Linked DNA regions of Arabidopsis thaliana. The protein of the gene in region 3 interacts with the protein of the main gene of each other region in a pairwise test. Each region holds a gene or a part of one and is shown on either strand. Other genes may lie near its edges. The genes, in order: AT3G17090, LSM1B and AT3G53250.

Region 1 (5,617 bases), about 14 Mb from region 3:
ATTTCCTGTAGAGTATTCAATATCTACGGGATGATTCTTTCATCGATTTTATTCGTGAGGCGATAGATTATTGCAGGGGCGTTGAGTCGCTTCGTCTATGTTTAACCAGGCATAGCGAATAAGCTCGTGCTATATCCTAATCAGTTATCGTTTCTTTTTTAAAAAAGCTTATTGAAGGATCCTATGATGGCATGAAATCTTTGAGACCTGATTTTTTATTGATGAAAAGCTATAAGCATTTTTACTCTGAGGATCCTTATAATTTTTTGTATCTGTTTCAATTTTTTTATCTGGCTAGAATAATTGTTGAGGGTCTAAGAAGGAAAAGATGATGAATATGCACTGGGCTCTGAGTTGTTGATTGACATTCAACTTCTTTTTGATGCATAATGCAGCCTAGAAAGCTTAATCTGATTTTTCTTTCATTAGTACTCTCAAAGGTTTTAGTATTAACAAGAACTTTATAGATTTATGGAATTGTATTTGATATTTTTTAGAAAAGGTCCATGAATCCATTTAATCAGAACTAACATTTAAGTCTTGCATAAGTAAAATGTTGAAGCCAAACGTTGCTCCACGACTTTGTTCTCCAAATCAAATCCGTACGAAAATTAAGTATTTCACCGAAACCGCAAATTTGAGATAGTATGAAGAGTTGACAACTGTGGCACATAAATATCGAAACAGTAATCCAAGAGCATCTTAAAATCTTTTTTGATCAATAAAGTTAAACCTAGAAATGTTGAAGAATAACCACTGTTCGGGAATGAAGAATAATTATAAGTTACCAAAACAATTTTGATTAGAGACTTGATGTTACATTCGAGAATAGTATGGTTACACGGCTATGTTACATTACATACTTTTGACGAACGGCAAGAAGTAAAAGACTTGGAACTCATCAGAACTTTGAAGAGAAACACCAAAAGTCAAACATAGCCGCTTAATACAAGAGAGAACTCATTACGTACGATAATGATGTTGTTTTTTTCATTTTTGGTTTTTTCCATATGTTGCCTTTTTTTTATTCATTCTAGGCAAAAGTCATATAATCAAGTAAGAAGAAACATTGTTGTAAAATGTTTGGGATTCTCAGTGTTCAAGAGCACTCCGTATAGAGACTGTTGTGTCTTGGGTTGAGTTGATGTGGCCTCTCGATATGAGGTCATGGTTCAAGAACACCACTATAACCGTGATGTCATCATGAAAATGTCGTCTCACTTTCTTGTCAATCTTCCTTAGATCTGAATATCTCATCTCACGTTTCCTCGCTGCCTCGTGAAGAGCCGCCTTTATCAGTCTCTTTGCGCTTCCCTGAACATAGAGAGAAACACACAATGCAAGAAATCATTTATATATTTAACGAATTTGTAATAATGAGGATTCTTGTGACTTGACTCGCTTAAAACTGCAATCTAAAACTTATCTAGACCAAAAACGCCATCTAAGAGAGAAATCAAAGTAGAAACTTACAGCACGGGGATGGTTATGAACAATCTCAACTGCTTTTTCGTTAGTCAAATGCTCCCAAAGACCATCAGATGCAAAAATGAGAAACGAATCATTAGGGTGCAGAGGATGAGAGAGTATTGTTGGTGTTGCAGACATCAAGGGTCTTTTCATTGGCTCTGCAATTCTGAACTTTTGACTGATTGGCTCCTTGTTAAATTCGGGCCGTTTCATGTACATGTCTCCTATAGACCTCGATACCTATATAAACAGCGAATCAAAGTTGAACAGTAAATACAGGGAATCATCAGAAAGTCTTAAGAGCTGCATGGTAGAGATGATTAATTATTGGTAACTAGACATCACAAAGAGCGTAAGACATATATTTAGCTTGTTCAGTACATATGTATGGAGTTCATCAGAAACCCATTACTTGCTAATTCTGCTTATGCACTACCTCATTACTTGCTAATTCTCAAAACTTTTTAAAGATTTGTACTTCTCAGACCTCTAATGAACTTTTCTATAGCTTATAAGAAAGGCCAAACCGCTCAAAGACTAAAAAAGAGAGAAGAAAAATGATTTAGCTCTTCCGAAACAAGCATAAGGTAGATATGTCAAAGTTTGCGAAACCAAAGAGAGTTAACACAACAAGGAACCTAGTTATGTCTAAGTGACTAATTTTACATTTTTCTTTTGGAAAATTAACATCACAAGGGATGGCAGGAGAATGAGAAACTACCTGAATGATGCCCTTAACTCTCCAAACTCCATGCCTGAACACAACGATCTGCGGGTCATCAGGATGTAAGTCCTTGAGTTCCCAACGAATATCTTCATTGTTAGCATTGTGTTCAGTCGACAGCTGAATAGCAGAGAGTCCGCCACAGTTGCCTTTCTTTCCAAGAACAACCCGTGAATCTCCAAGACTTGCCACAAAAAGAGTATTTTGATATATCACTCCAACCAAACAACAAGTGCCAACAGTTGCCAAATTTGGTATTTCTTGCCACAGCTCTGACACAATGGAAGCGAATCCTTCTTCTGTCGCATGAAAGGCTCTTTCTATCGTCTCTCTCGTCACAACTCCTTGTGTTTCCGCTGATATTTCTGCATAACCATAAAGCCTGAGCAATCAAAACATAAGAGAGGCTCAACCTCCTTTCATAATTACAGTGCACTCCTAGTTTGCTTAAGCCTGGTAATATTCATGACACTCCACCATCAATGCAAAAGCCAGGGACCCTTATCTAAATGGCAAAGAACAATCTCAAAGAACCAGGAATGCGAAATGCAAAGAGTCCTCCTATATATCAAACTGCATTACAAATACTCCTATATATCAAAGAGCATACTCATATCTAAAGTTTTACTATTTCTGAAGTCAATAAACACAGTTTTTAAATGCAAAGACTGTAGCTCTAAACTTGCATTTAGCTTAATGGGAACCTAATTATACCCCAACGAGATTAAAAAGTCAAAGTACCTAACTTTGTTGACCAATCACCATCTTCATCACCAAGATTTGAACAAAAAGTTCAGAATTAAGTCAACGGATTCATCTAAAATATGTATTTCCCCAAAAAACCAATTCAAAACACTCAAGCTCGAATGTCAAAATGACGAATCACTGTGTCAATGAAGAATCGGATTACGAACCTCGAAAATGGTTAAAGAGATGATCACAGACATAACGAGCAGCTTCAGGACCACCATGACCATCGTAAACACCAACAAAAGTCCCAAAATTACCGGATTCGACCTGGCTCTGATCTTCAAGAACCTGATTGGCTTGAATCACAGCCATGGAGAAATCTCCGCCGCAATATTTACCGAGATCACGGAACCAAAGCAATCCGTCTTTGCCTTCACCGCCGGTTCCACCAGAAACGCCACCACCACCACCCGATCCAGCTTCGGAATTATCACAGACGTGCCCGAATGGCTTGAAGCAGAGAGAAAACAGATTCATCAATGAACCTGACATTCAACATCTCTCGAAAACCCTAACCCCCAAAAACCCACTCCTCGGAACCGTGAGATTTCTGGGTATTAAGGGTTCGATTCAAAATCAGAGAAAAGGAGCGGGATTGGGTAATGGAAATGAGATCGGGAGAAGAGAATGATGGGAGAGAGAGAAAACCCTAGGTCTTAATGGAAGGGATGATGCGCAGGATAAGATGTTTTGGCGTAGGATAAGGGGAGAGGCGTAAGATAGAAAGTAGTAGAAGACGATGACGGACGTGTCTTGTCCGGTCGTAAAGGAACAAAGAAATTCTCGCTTGTAATTTTTTGTCTGATGAGGAGAGAGCGATCTTCCCTTAGCTGTCCGACCATTTTCTTTGCCTATACTATTACACAACTGTTGTGTTGCCCAAATTAAAAAAAAAAAATCTAACAAACTAAAAACTATATTATTAAAAGAAAGATGAAAATTTTGTTATATATGTTTACTAAATCAAAATTTAATACAAATTATAATGTAAAATATTTATATGCAAGTTCTTTGCATTATTTTTTTTAAAATTTGGGTTTGACTCAATAGACTTTCTACTTACTTCTTTTGCTAAATCGGAAATAAATATAAAAGAGATAAGTTTCTAGATGTAATGCATTTCACTTATGGGAGTAAATCTTCACCAATTTATGTCATTGAAAGTATATGTTTTAAGATAATATTTCACTTCCACTACTCGAGAAAAGCCTTCCCACGCGGGTTTAGTTTCCTCCATTCACCAACATGCGTTTAACTATGCCATTTGGTTATGTCGAATTATACTAGTTTTTTTTTTTTTCTGGTTTTAAATTACACTAGATTGTGCACTACGTTTGACTCATTGAGTTTCGGGGTCATGAAATGGGACTCTAATCGATATGCGTTTAGTTAAGCACAAATGTATAATTTACATAGTTGTTCTTTCGATCAACACTTGTTCTCTATTTATTTATAATTCTTTTTTTTTGTTAAAAAATGAACGTTAAGCATAAAAGAAAAGCTCATTGTAGTTCACATTATATTCTTATAATGTTTTGTTACTTCGCTCTAAAATTATTTGACTATAATTGTGTCATTAACAAGTAAAAAAAAAAGAAAACGAATTGTAGGTCAAACCATAAAATATCATATTAAGACACAATTACCTCATACAAAAAAGAAAAAAAAAGGTAGAAGAAGAAGTAGACAGACATAGATTGATAGTTACGACATGTTTTATAAAATAAGGATATTAATCCCAAGAATAGCAATGATCAAACATGCCGGTCTTCTTATAAAACTTGCAAGGTCCATTTTTCCGTATTTTCCATTCGCATTTTTTGCAACCAAACTCTTGAAATTCTTTGTCTCTACTCTGTTTGTAGATATCAAATATATGACTCTCAGCTCCCCAACTAAAACGACAGTAAAACAAAGTCCGGCCAAAAATATCCGGTGTAAATCCAAACGACCACGATCTACCTGGTGCTAAACTCTGGTATCCAAGATCATCCTCTCTTGATTTGCAGTGGTGCCGTAGTGGCAAACCACCTCCAAGATCATTATAAATCACTACACTCGTCGAGGCTCGAGACATAATTGCACTCATAAACATAACCATTACAAAGAAAAGTAAGCATGTCTCAAGAGAACCCATAATTCGTCTAAACTTTTTTTTTTTTTAATCCTGGAAAATATCCAAGTATATGTTGATAACTATTTCAATCAAACTTGTTCAGTATTTATACTGTATAGGTAACATCTTTTTGCACAAAAAAAAAGGTAACATCTTAAGTCAACACTTTCCAAATTATGATCCATGTTTGTTTTGACACTAACTTTTTTTAAAAAAAATATCCAAGTATATGTTGTTATATGATCAACACTTTCCAAATTATGATCGCTACAAGAGAAACGGTATTTGACGTCGGTCATTATTGACTTTAACGTCATTTTCAAACTGACTTTAACATAATAGCGTCGGTTTAAAAACCGTCGTAACATTGCATGACGTTAATATAATTAACTTAACTTTAGGAAATGACGCTTACTTATACGTCGAAACGTTTGCGTCGGTTTTAGTAATCTTAACATCGGTTAAGTTCTGTCGTGTAAATCTTATTCTTTTGAGTCATTTGTAAACCGACGTGTATATAGTTTTTATCTTTAATTGTTTCTGTTAAAAATTATATA
Region 2 (4,148 bases), about 15 Mb from region 3:
TATCTTTGATGCTATGCGTTCCACGAATCAATAACAGAAAATATTTTGTATTGTGATCGACAAGAACCGTAAAAGCTGGCTTCAATATCTACATGGTGCAAAATTCAAAACTAAACTTCTCAATTTCTATGTTGAAAAAGTGCCTAAGAGTTGAGAGTTGTTAAAGTTTACCCCAGCTTTGGGTTCATGAATAAGGACATTTTCCTTTGTAAAGCCGGTCTCTTCTAAGAAAAACGGAAACGACTTCTTGGAAAAATGCCAACACAATGTCAACAAGTGCAAAAGATATTTGAGTTCAGTGGCTACTTCTGATCCTCTAAGTTCTACACTATCTTTACCACCAAAGACACGATCAACATGTAGAAGTCCCTACGGTTTTAGGTACACAATTACAAAAAGTTCAATTTTGACCACAAGATAATTAGAAAAAAATCCAGAACTTAAGACCGTTAAAACGATGAAGAGATGTTATACCTGCCTCTTGATGAGAAAATTGATCCCAAACGCAAGATCACCAATAGGCCACTTCCCAAGAGTCTCAGAGTAAGTAAAACGAAGAGTCTCAGAAAGAGTAGAAATAGTCTCCAACCAAGTTGCCGGAGCTTGAATAAGCCTATGCGAAACACGGTCAATCCTCAAAGAAGGACGAGAAGCAGAAGCTTCAGAATTCTCATCGTCAACGTCAGATGGACCAGCTATTAATTTCCGATTCAACGTGTAATATAAAAGAGCAGCTGCTCCAGCTGCTGTTGCCATAGTTGCAGTTGCCATGATCAATCTATCCCTAAAATCATCAATGAAACAAATTCGCTCAATCCAAGACGAAACTCAATCTAATAAGAATACAAAATTTAAAGACAAAATCGATTGAAACTACATTGGATGCCACAATTTCAATCTCCAGATGCGTTCTTAAGTATCTCAGACTTATTCCAGAAATCTCCAAAAACATGTAAAGCTGGAAAATTGGATATAATTTCGTACAAAGAACATTCTTTTCACCAATTAACCCCAAAGAATTCGGGATACAAAAAAAAGAAGCCATTAATAGAAAACTCTCACTTTCCTGAAACTTCTCGAATACCACAACAAACCCTACTCCTGATAACTATCGCGTCTTTTAACCGATGCAAATCATAAAATTGAATGTGATTTAGCTTAAAATTGAACAGGATCGGTGAACTATAGAAACAAAACCCTAAATCCTACCCCAAGAATAGCATCGTTAAAACACGAAGTTCTTTGTGAATCAAACCTGGAAAAATAAGACGAAATCGTGACCTTAATTTGAGGGTTTTACAGTGGAGAAGGAAGGTTAAGGTTGCTTTAGCTTATGTACGATATCTCCGGGAAGGGGAAGCTGCTTTCTCTCCGATGATGTTGTTAGCTACAAGATGCTGCAATGCAAAAGTGTGAAAACAGAATTTTTTGTTTTGCTTTAAATAAACTGCGCTACGTTTTTGTGCTAAGCGAACGCCGCGTAGTTTCGCGCCGCCGAGATCTGATGCTTACGTGGGAATATATTATTGGATGACTTACCCATAAAAGCGTTTTAACATAAATCAAGCAGTAAATAATAATAGTGTTAAATCGACTTTTTTGGTCCATAAATTAAAATTTATTCGAAACAGATATTTTATTAGCTTGGAAGATTAGTCTCATTTATTTAAGAAACATTCAGTCACAATAATTATTAGGAAATTTAACATTAAATTGGAAAGTGCTTAAAGTATTAAAGTACAACGTCTTATCTATCGAGTTAAGAAATCGTGGACATTGCTTGAAAATAATAAAAAAGGGACAGTGGACGGATTTGCTCGCTAGTTTTCTCTTCGAATTTTCCACAAACAAATTTTCTCAGCCAAAGTTCGATCGGATCTGGGTTTTATATTTTTTTGAAGAACCCGTGTCCGTCTTCGATCAGGTGTCGAAAGTCTCAATCTTTTTTAATCACTTTATCAATTTAAACCCTTTGGTCAAAACCCTAATTTAGATTTCTCTTTCCGTCTTCACTTTTTTTTTTTCCTGTCAAAGTTCGCGTTCAATAGCCAAATCTTATCTCTTCAGCTGGAATCTGACGAACATTATTATCATCGGTAGTGTTCTATAGAAAGACCGAAAGTTTTCTTCAATTTCAAAGTCAGTGGCGATGTCGTGGGCTGGTCCTGAAGAAATTTATCTTTCAACATCACTCGCTAGTTATCTCGATAGTAAATCCGTCTCTCTTTCTCTCTGTTTCACATATTTGTTGAACCGTATGAATGCATGTAGTTAAAATAATTGGCCGTGATGGCTCTGTACGCATTTGGGAGCTCAATTTTGCAAACAATTCTCTGTTTTTTTGACGTTTGATTTTGACTTCTTATTGATATATAGGCTGTACTATTTTGTGGCTGTATCCAAAGCTTGTCAATTTTGGTGTTGAATTGTCTCAAAGAGACATTCATTGATTAAGATATTGATTATTGAATCAAAGCTTTAGTTTTTTTTTAATTGGGTCAAATCTAACTGTTCATCAGTTATTGTTGTCAAGCTAAATTTTAGCATGCGTGAGAGATTAGATGTGATTGAGGTTGCTGGCTCACTCTTTATTCAACTTACGAAGTATAAACTTTAACCTTTGTTGAAATTTAATTCACTATCGGCTTTTTGATGTTGGTTCTTTGAGTTTAAAAGTCAATGATCTTCTTTTGCTGATGTTTTTGGGCTATGAGTTAGTTCTCAATCTCATTTGGCGTACCGTTTTCTTTTTTAGATATGAATCAATGTGCATCAGTTACTTATGTATGTTGGCTCTGCTCTTGATGATGCAGGAAAACTACTTGTGCTTCTTAGAGATGGTAGAAAGCTAATGGGAACACTCCGTTCCTTTGATCAATTCGGTATTCACTTTTCTTTCCATGTTTCTAGATTTACGATATTGTTGATGAGCGGGAGAGATTTGACTTTTTTTTGTTCGTTGTAAATACACAGCCAATGCGGTTCTAGAAGGTGCGTGTGAGAGGGTAATTGTTGGTGAACAATACTGTGACATTCCTTTAGGCCTCTATGTAATCCGTGGAGAGAATGTTGTTTTGATTGGTGAGCTGGTAAGACTTCTCCTTGTTTGTCTTTTCTTGCTGTGTCACCTCGTGTTTTCCAATTCACTGAGTTTGACCTTAAACTATGTATTAGGACACGGAGAGAGAAGAGCTTCCTCCACATATGATTCGCGTCTCAGAGGCAGAGATTAAAAGGGTAAGACATCGCATAACATGTTCATTTTGATTAGCCAAATTTGATTCATTTGTGATGCTGTGTGCGTGCTGATGATTTGGTTTTCGGGAATCTGTCTGTTGATGCAGGCACAAAAGGTGGAGAGGGAAGCGAGTGAGCTGAGAGGAACAATGAGGAAGAGAATGGAGTTTCTTGACTTTGATTAAACCAGATTGTATCCCCATTCATTATTGGCTTGATGCTCTGCTTTGGCTCGCAAGTTTTATGATGAGCCTTTTTGGTGTGTTGACTTAGGGGATCGACGCAATTCTTGTGTTTCATTTTGGATGAATATGACAATAAATCTGTGTACTTTTGTCTTTGGATCTATTTACCTTTTTAAGAAAAAAATGTTAAGCAATTTCTTTCTCTATTTTGGAACTTTTAAACAAGGAGCTTGCCTATGGCTACTACCAAACGGAACAAAAATGGAGCAAATGAGTAGAGGACGTCGCACATTGCAAAATTTACATGGTACTTATTGGTTCTGTGATCAATCAGGACTTTTATAAATAGAAGACATATGGCACAAACAACAACACACAAATATGTTCACCTGGAGATTATTCCACCGGGCAGGAAACCCGTGAATAAAAATTCAAAGAATGGTTCTATTTCTATGACATCCTAATGTGACTGAAAAACGAAAGAAAGAAGATAGAACTCTCGGGTTTTCGATCTTCTTTTATCGCCTCCTCAAGTGTGGTGGTGTGGTATATCCTTCGAAGAAATCTAGAACGATGGTCTCGATATCTTCAACCGAATATTTCAAATAGTTCTCAGGGTGTCTTCCACTCTCTATATGACCCCTGAACCTTCCAAGAAACGATCTATAAGCAGGGATTAGATGCTCGGATAGCGATATTCGGAGTTCTTCTCTAAGCTGAGCATCT
Region 3 (3,499 bases):
ATGATATATATGATATAAAAACTTACGTGTAAAACTCGTTGTTAACTTGTTACTTTTTATGTTGGTAAATGTGGATTTGACACCGTTGACAAAAGACTTTATGATTTATTTGTGTTTGGCTTCAAATGTATGTTTCTGGCCTTTCTCTAAACATTTCGAATCCTTTTATGTGAGTTTCTCTTTTTAGATATTAGACTAATATCTATCCTATGCATCTCATGGCCATTTCTTGGAGCCTATCGTGCAATAACAAACACATTATATCTTCTTTGTCATAATCTTTCATTTGCGAGTAACAAAAAAATCTTACTTCTTGACATTCATCCATTTTAATGATGTAGAATAATACAGATACAATTGATAGAAACTGGAAGTTGTGTCTGTTCTCTGACAATATCTGCATCAGAAAAGAGTTCAAGTTTGCTCTAAACTCGAATAAGATAGCTGCAAACTCATTCCCTTTGGCTAGTCAAGACAATTGCTAGAAACTGAAAGTTGTTTGATTTTCTGACAATATCTACATCAGAGAAGTTCAAGTTTTTTTCTATGACACAGAACAGAAGCATGATCAGATAATGTTGGAAGTTTTGCTATTTGTCTTCAGATATTTGTCATAGTCTTAATGTTTCAGTTTATTTGGAAACATTTGAAAATGTAACATGTTTAGTGAACACTCACTTATATAATACGATAGATGATTACTTATATTACGAAAACTCTTACTTAATTAGTGTACAAGATTATCTAAATCAATCCTCAACATTAATTCTCTCTAGAAACATAGAACCGGATGATGAATCAAAACCAAATGAATATGTCTTTTGAATCCCTCCCTTCTTAACATTACATGCCAATGCAGTTTCTCTGATGCTGAGGAGCGCCACTGCAACGAACAACATCGAGAAAAGTGTTCTCATCACATGGAATCCATAGTCTTGATGAATTATAAGCATCTTGCGCTTGATCAAGCAATGCTTTAAAGATTGGATGAGTAAGCAAACTCATCTTTATCACAAACCTCTTGTAATCATCACCAACATACACTACCAAATGTCCTCTCGGAACATCTTTAGGTATTGCTTCATTTTCCTTCTTGAATCCCCAAGAAACCTTGTCGCAGCAACTCTCGCATGAAGATGTACAACAAGGTAGAACTATGGATTTGCTCTTCATGATTCTGAATTTGTTTTCGCATGATTTTATGAACTTGTTCTTCATTTTGAGTATAGAATGAGAGGTTTCGAATATGAATGATGAATAAAAGAGAGATAGAGATGGTTTTGTGATGAGAAGTACAATGGTGAAGTACATGTATATATATAGATGATTGATTTACAGAGCTTAGATAGAAATGAAAAAAATCTTAGGTCCATAGTGATATTAAATGTAATGTTTTTTTGAGTATGAGATGGGCAAGATTTTTTTATATAAATGGTAAGATACATCACGAGGGCTTTAAATTATGAGAATTGTTTGCCATTTTTTTTTCACTCGTGCGGTTCCGTTATTTTCCCTCATAAAACTGAAACTGTACGAACATGCATTGCATTATTACAATTGCAAATAAGAAATGTTATTTTCATCTTCTCGACTGTAACTGAAATCATGGGAGCTAAGACTTGTAAGACCCCACAAAAGAAAGAATTGAGAGATAGAGAGAAGATAAGGGAAATGAAGAAGAGTGATGGGTTTTAAATCTTCTTGGACAAAGTGTGATCTCGATTTATGATTCATGGATTTTATGATTCTAAAATGTACTCTCTTTTCTTTTGGTGATTTCTTGAAGATCAAGGCTTTAGTTGAAGTGACTTCTTGAATTAGCCTAATTTGTCTATAAAAATCCAATGTTCATTTAAAAAAAAAAAAAAATCTCAAGCTGATTAGCATGTGAAGATTGATTAGGATCATTCTTGTCTAATGGTTCTATGAATAGATATATGATAATAATATATCTAAATAGGTCTGCTTTTTATTTTGTTTTGTGATTTTTCTTTATGCATGGATTGCAAGTGTAGACTGATAAAGAAGTGTCAGCTTTTGCAGGGTCCAATATGATTGGGAAGCAGCACAGAACAGAGCAGATCAACTATTCATTAGGATTCAGATTCATCCCCCCGAAATAGCTGAGTATGAGAAGAGCAATCATTCTTTCTTACACATTACTTATGCAGATGAGCCTATGGTATGTTCTGTTTTTTTCATCCCAATAGGTGTCAACTAGGACCTAATCTAAAATTAAGCTTGTTTAATGTAGAACAAAAGAAAGTTTGAGCTGGTTTTAGTGAAAATATAATATGGTTTTATCTTTTTTGGGTTATGTGGGATTGGATTTGGAAATCAGATTATCTTTTGGGAGACATTTTCTATTTGGTTTCAGATTTTTTTGTTTTGTTAACAACATGCATTGTACAGAATTGAATTTGGATGGTGACACATCAATGACACTAATACAAACGATTATGCTTCATGTTATGCGGTTATTTGGTTTTAGTCTTTCAGATTTATTCTCTAAGTTTTTTTACCATCTGTATTATTTTGTTTGTTTATAATCATTTTCTAATGTTTTGTCATGATTTTGATTTCGAAACTATTTCAATCAAAATTTGAGCCTGACAAACTAAACATATAATCATCAGCTTCAAATTTTTTTAATATATATTTGTTTTTATAACTCTTTTTTTATACTTTTTGTTAACAAAATAAAAATTTGAATCTATTAAAAGTTTTAAACTAGCCTTTGGACCAGACAGAACTGATGTATCATCAGACCCGGGACGGTCAAGCTGGTTTGAGATAAGAAGGAGGGCCATTTCTAAAAAAGTAGGCTGGCTTCGTCTGCATGAAATTTATTGTGGGAACGTGAGGCTTTTATGATGTTTGTCTTTTGAGTCTCATAATTCTTACAAATAACCTCATTCGATAACCAGGAATTATTTAAACTTTAATTAACGAAATTACCAACCTTTGATTTAGGATCAACAATACCCTAAATTTTAATTGTGAAATGAATTTTATAGCCAGCCAGCCCTTTGGAGTAGGTTTTCTTTCATAAACGTCAAACATAACAAATACTAGTCAAAATATAACAAATCTAATTTTCACGAGCACTAATGCTTTCGTTTGCCCTTGTCTATGGGCTTATGAACTCAGTTGCTCGTATATTCTTCAATATTTTTGGTTTATCAAAAAATAATGAGTAGTTGAGTTATCGATATGTTCAATAGATATTTTAGTTAGTAAGGAAACGGTGTTGTAACTTTTTTTTGTTATAAACTTGTAATGAACGTGTACTTAAACATTACATCATAAGATCGGGTCACGATGGAGTAATGTACTTATTTCATACTCGGATCATCGATCGATTAGCGACTCTTGGGATCAAACCCTATTTTGACTTTGATTATTTTGAAAGAAAATAGAAAAAAGAAGGGCCTAGATGAGGTAGCCATACCCTTATTACACCCACAATTATTTGATTTGACTTTCCCATGTGTCTTTC

The links.
Region 1: the proteins of AT3G53250 (region 3) and AT3G17090 interact in a two-hybrid assay, tested with the Arabidopsis thaliana proteins (one large-scale study listed by BioGRID).
Region 2: the proteins of AT3G53250 (region 3) and LSM1B interact in a two-hybrid assay, tested with the Arabidopsis thaliana proteins (one large-scale study listed by BioGRID).

What each region holds. Positions count from the first base shown.
Region 1 is NC_003074.8:5,824,803-5,830,419, reverse strand, and holds AT3G17090 (Protein phosphatase 2C family protein), read right to left. Parts: upstream 3,835-5,617; 5' UTR 3,437-3,834; coding exon 3,109-3,436; intron 2,560-3,108; coding exon 2,192-2,559; intron 1,711-2,191; coding exon 1,474-1,710; coding exon of another isoform or gene 1,470-1,473; intron 1,315-1,469; coding exon 1,093-1,314; 3' UTR 520-1,092; downstream 1-519. Other genes in the region: AT3G17080 (Plant self-incompatibility protein S1 family), read right to left, coding at 4,677-5,081. UniProt on the Arabidopsis thaliana protein: Dephosphorylates and represses plasma membrane H(+)-ATPases (PM H(+)-ATPases, e.g. AHA1 and AHA2), thus influencing negatively plant growth and fitness. Promotes the apical hook maintenance of etiolated seedlings.
Region 2 is NC_003074.8:4,665,568-4,669,715, forward strand, and holds LSM1B (Small nuclear ribonucleoprotein family protein), read left to right. Parts: upstream 1-1,740; 5' UTR 1,741-1,924; exon of another isoform or gene 1,925-2,034; 5' UTR 2,035-2,149; coding exon 2,150-2,210; intron 2,211-2,762; exon of another isoform or gene 2,763-2,782; coding exon of another isoform or gene 2,783-2,813; coding exon 2,814-2,882; intron 2,883-2,973; coding exon 2,974-3,089; intron 3,090-3,174; coding exon 3,175-3,237; intron 3,238-3,344; coding exon 3,345-3,422; 3' UTR 3,423-3,627; downstream 3,628-4,148. Other genes in the region: AT3G14075 (Mono-/di-acylglycerol lipase, N-terminal;Lipase, class 3), read right to left, coding at 1-88, 172-369, 475-771; EXO70D3 (exocyst subunit exo70 family protein D3), read right to left, coding at 3,941-4,148. UniProt on the Arabidopsis thaliana protein: Component of the cytoplasmic LSM1-LSM7 complex which is involved in mRNA degradation by promoting decapping and leading to accurate 5'-3' mRNA decay.
Region 3 is NC_003074.8:19,740,642-19,744,140, reverse strand, and holds AT3G53250 (SAUR-like auxin-responsive protein family), read right to left. Parts: upstream 1,455-3,499; 5' UTR 1,312-1,454; coding exon 844-1,311; 3' UTR 558-843; downstream 1-557.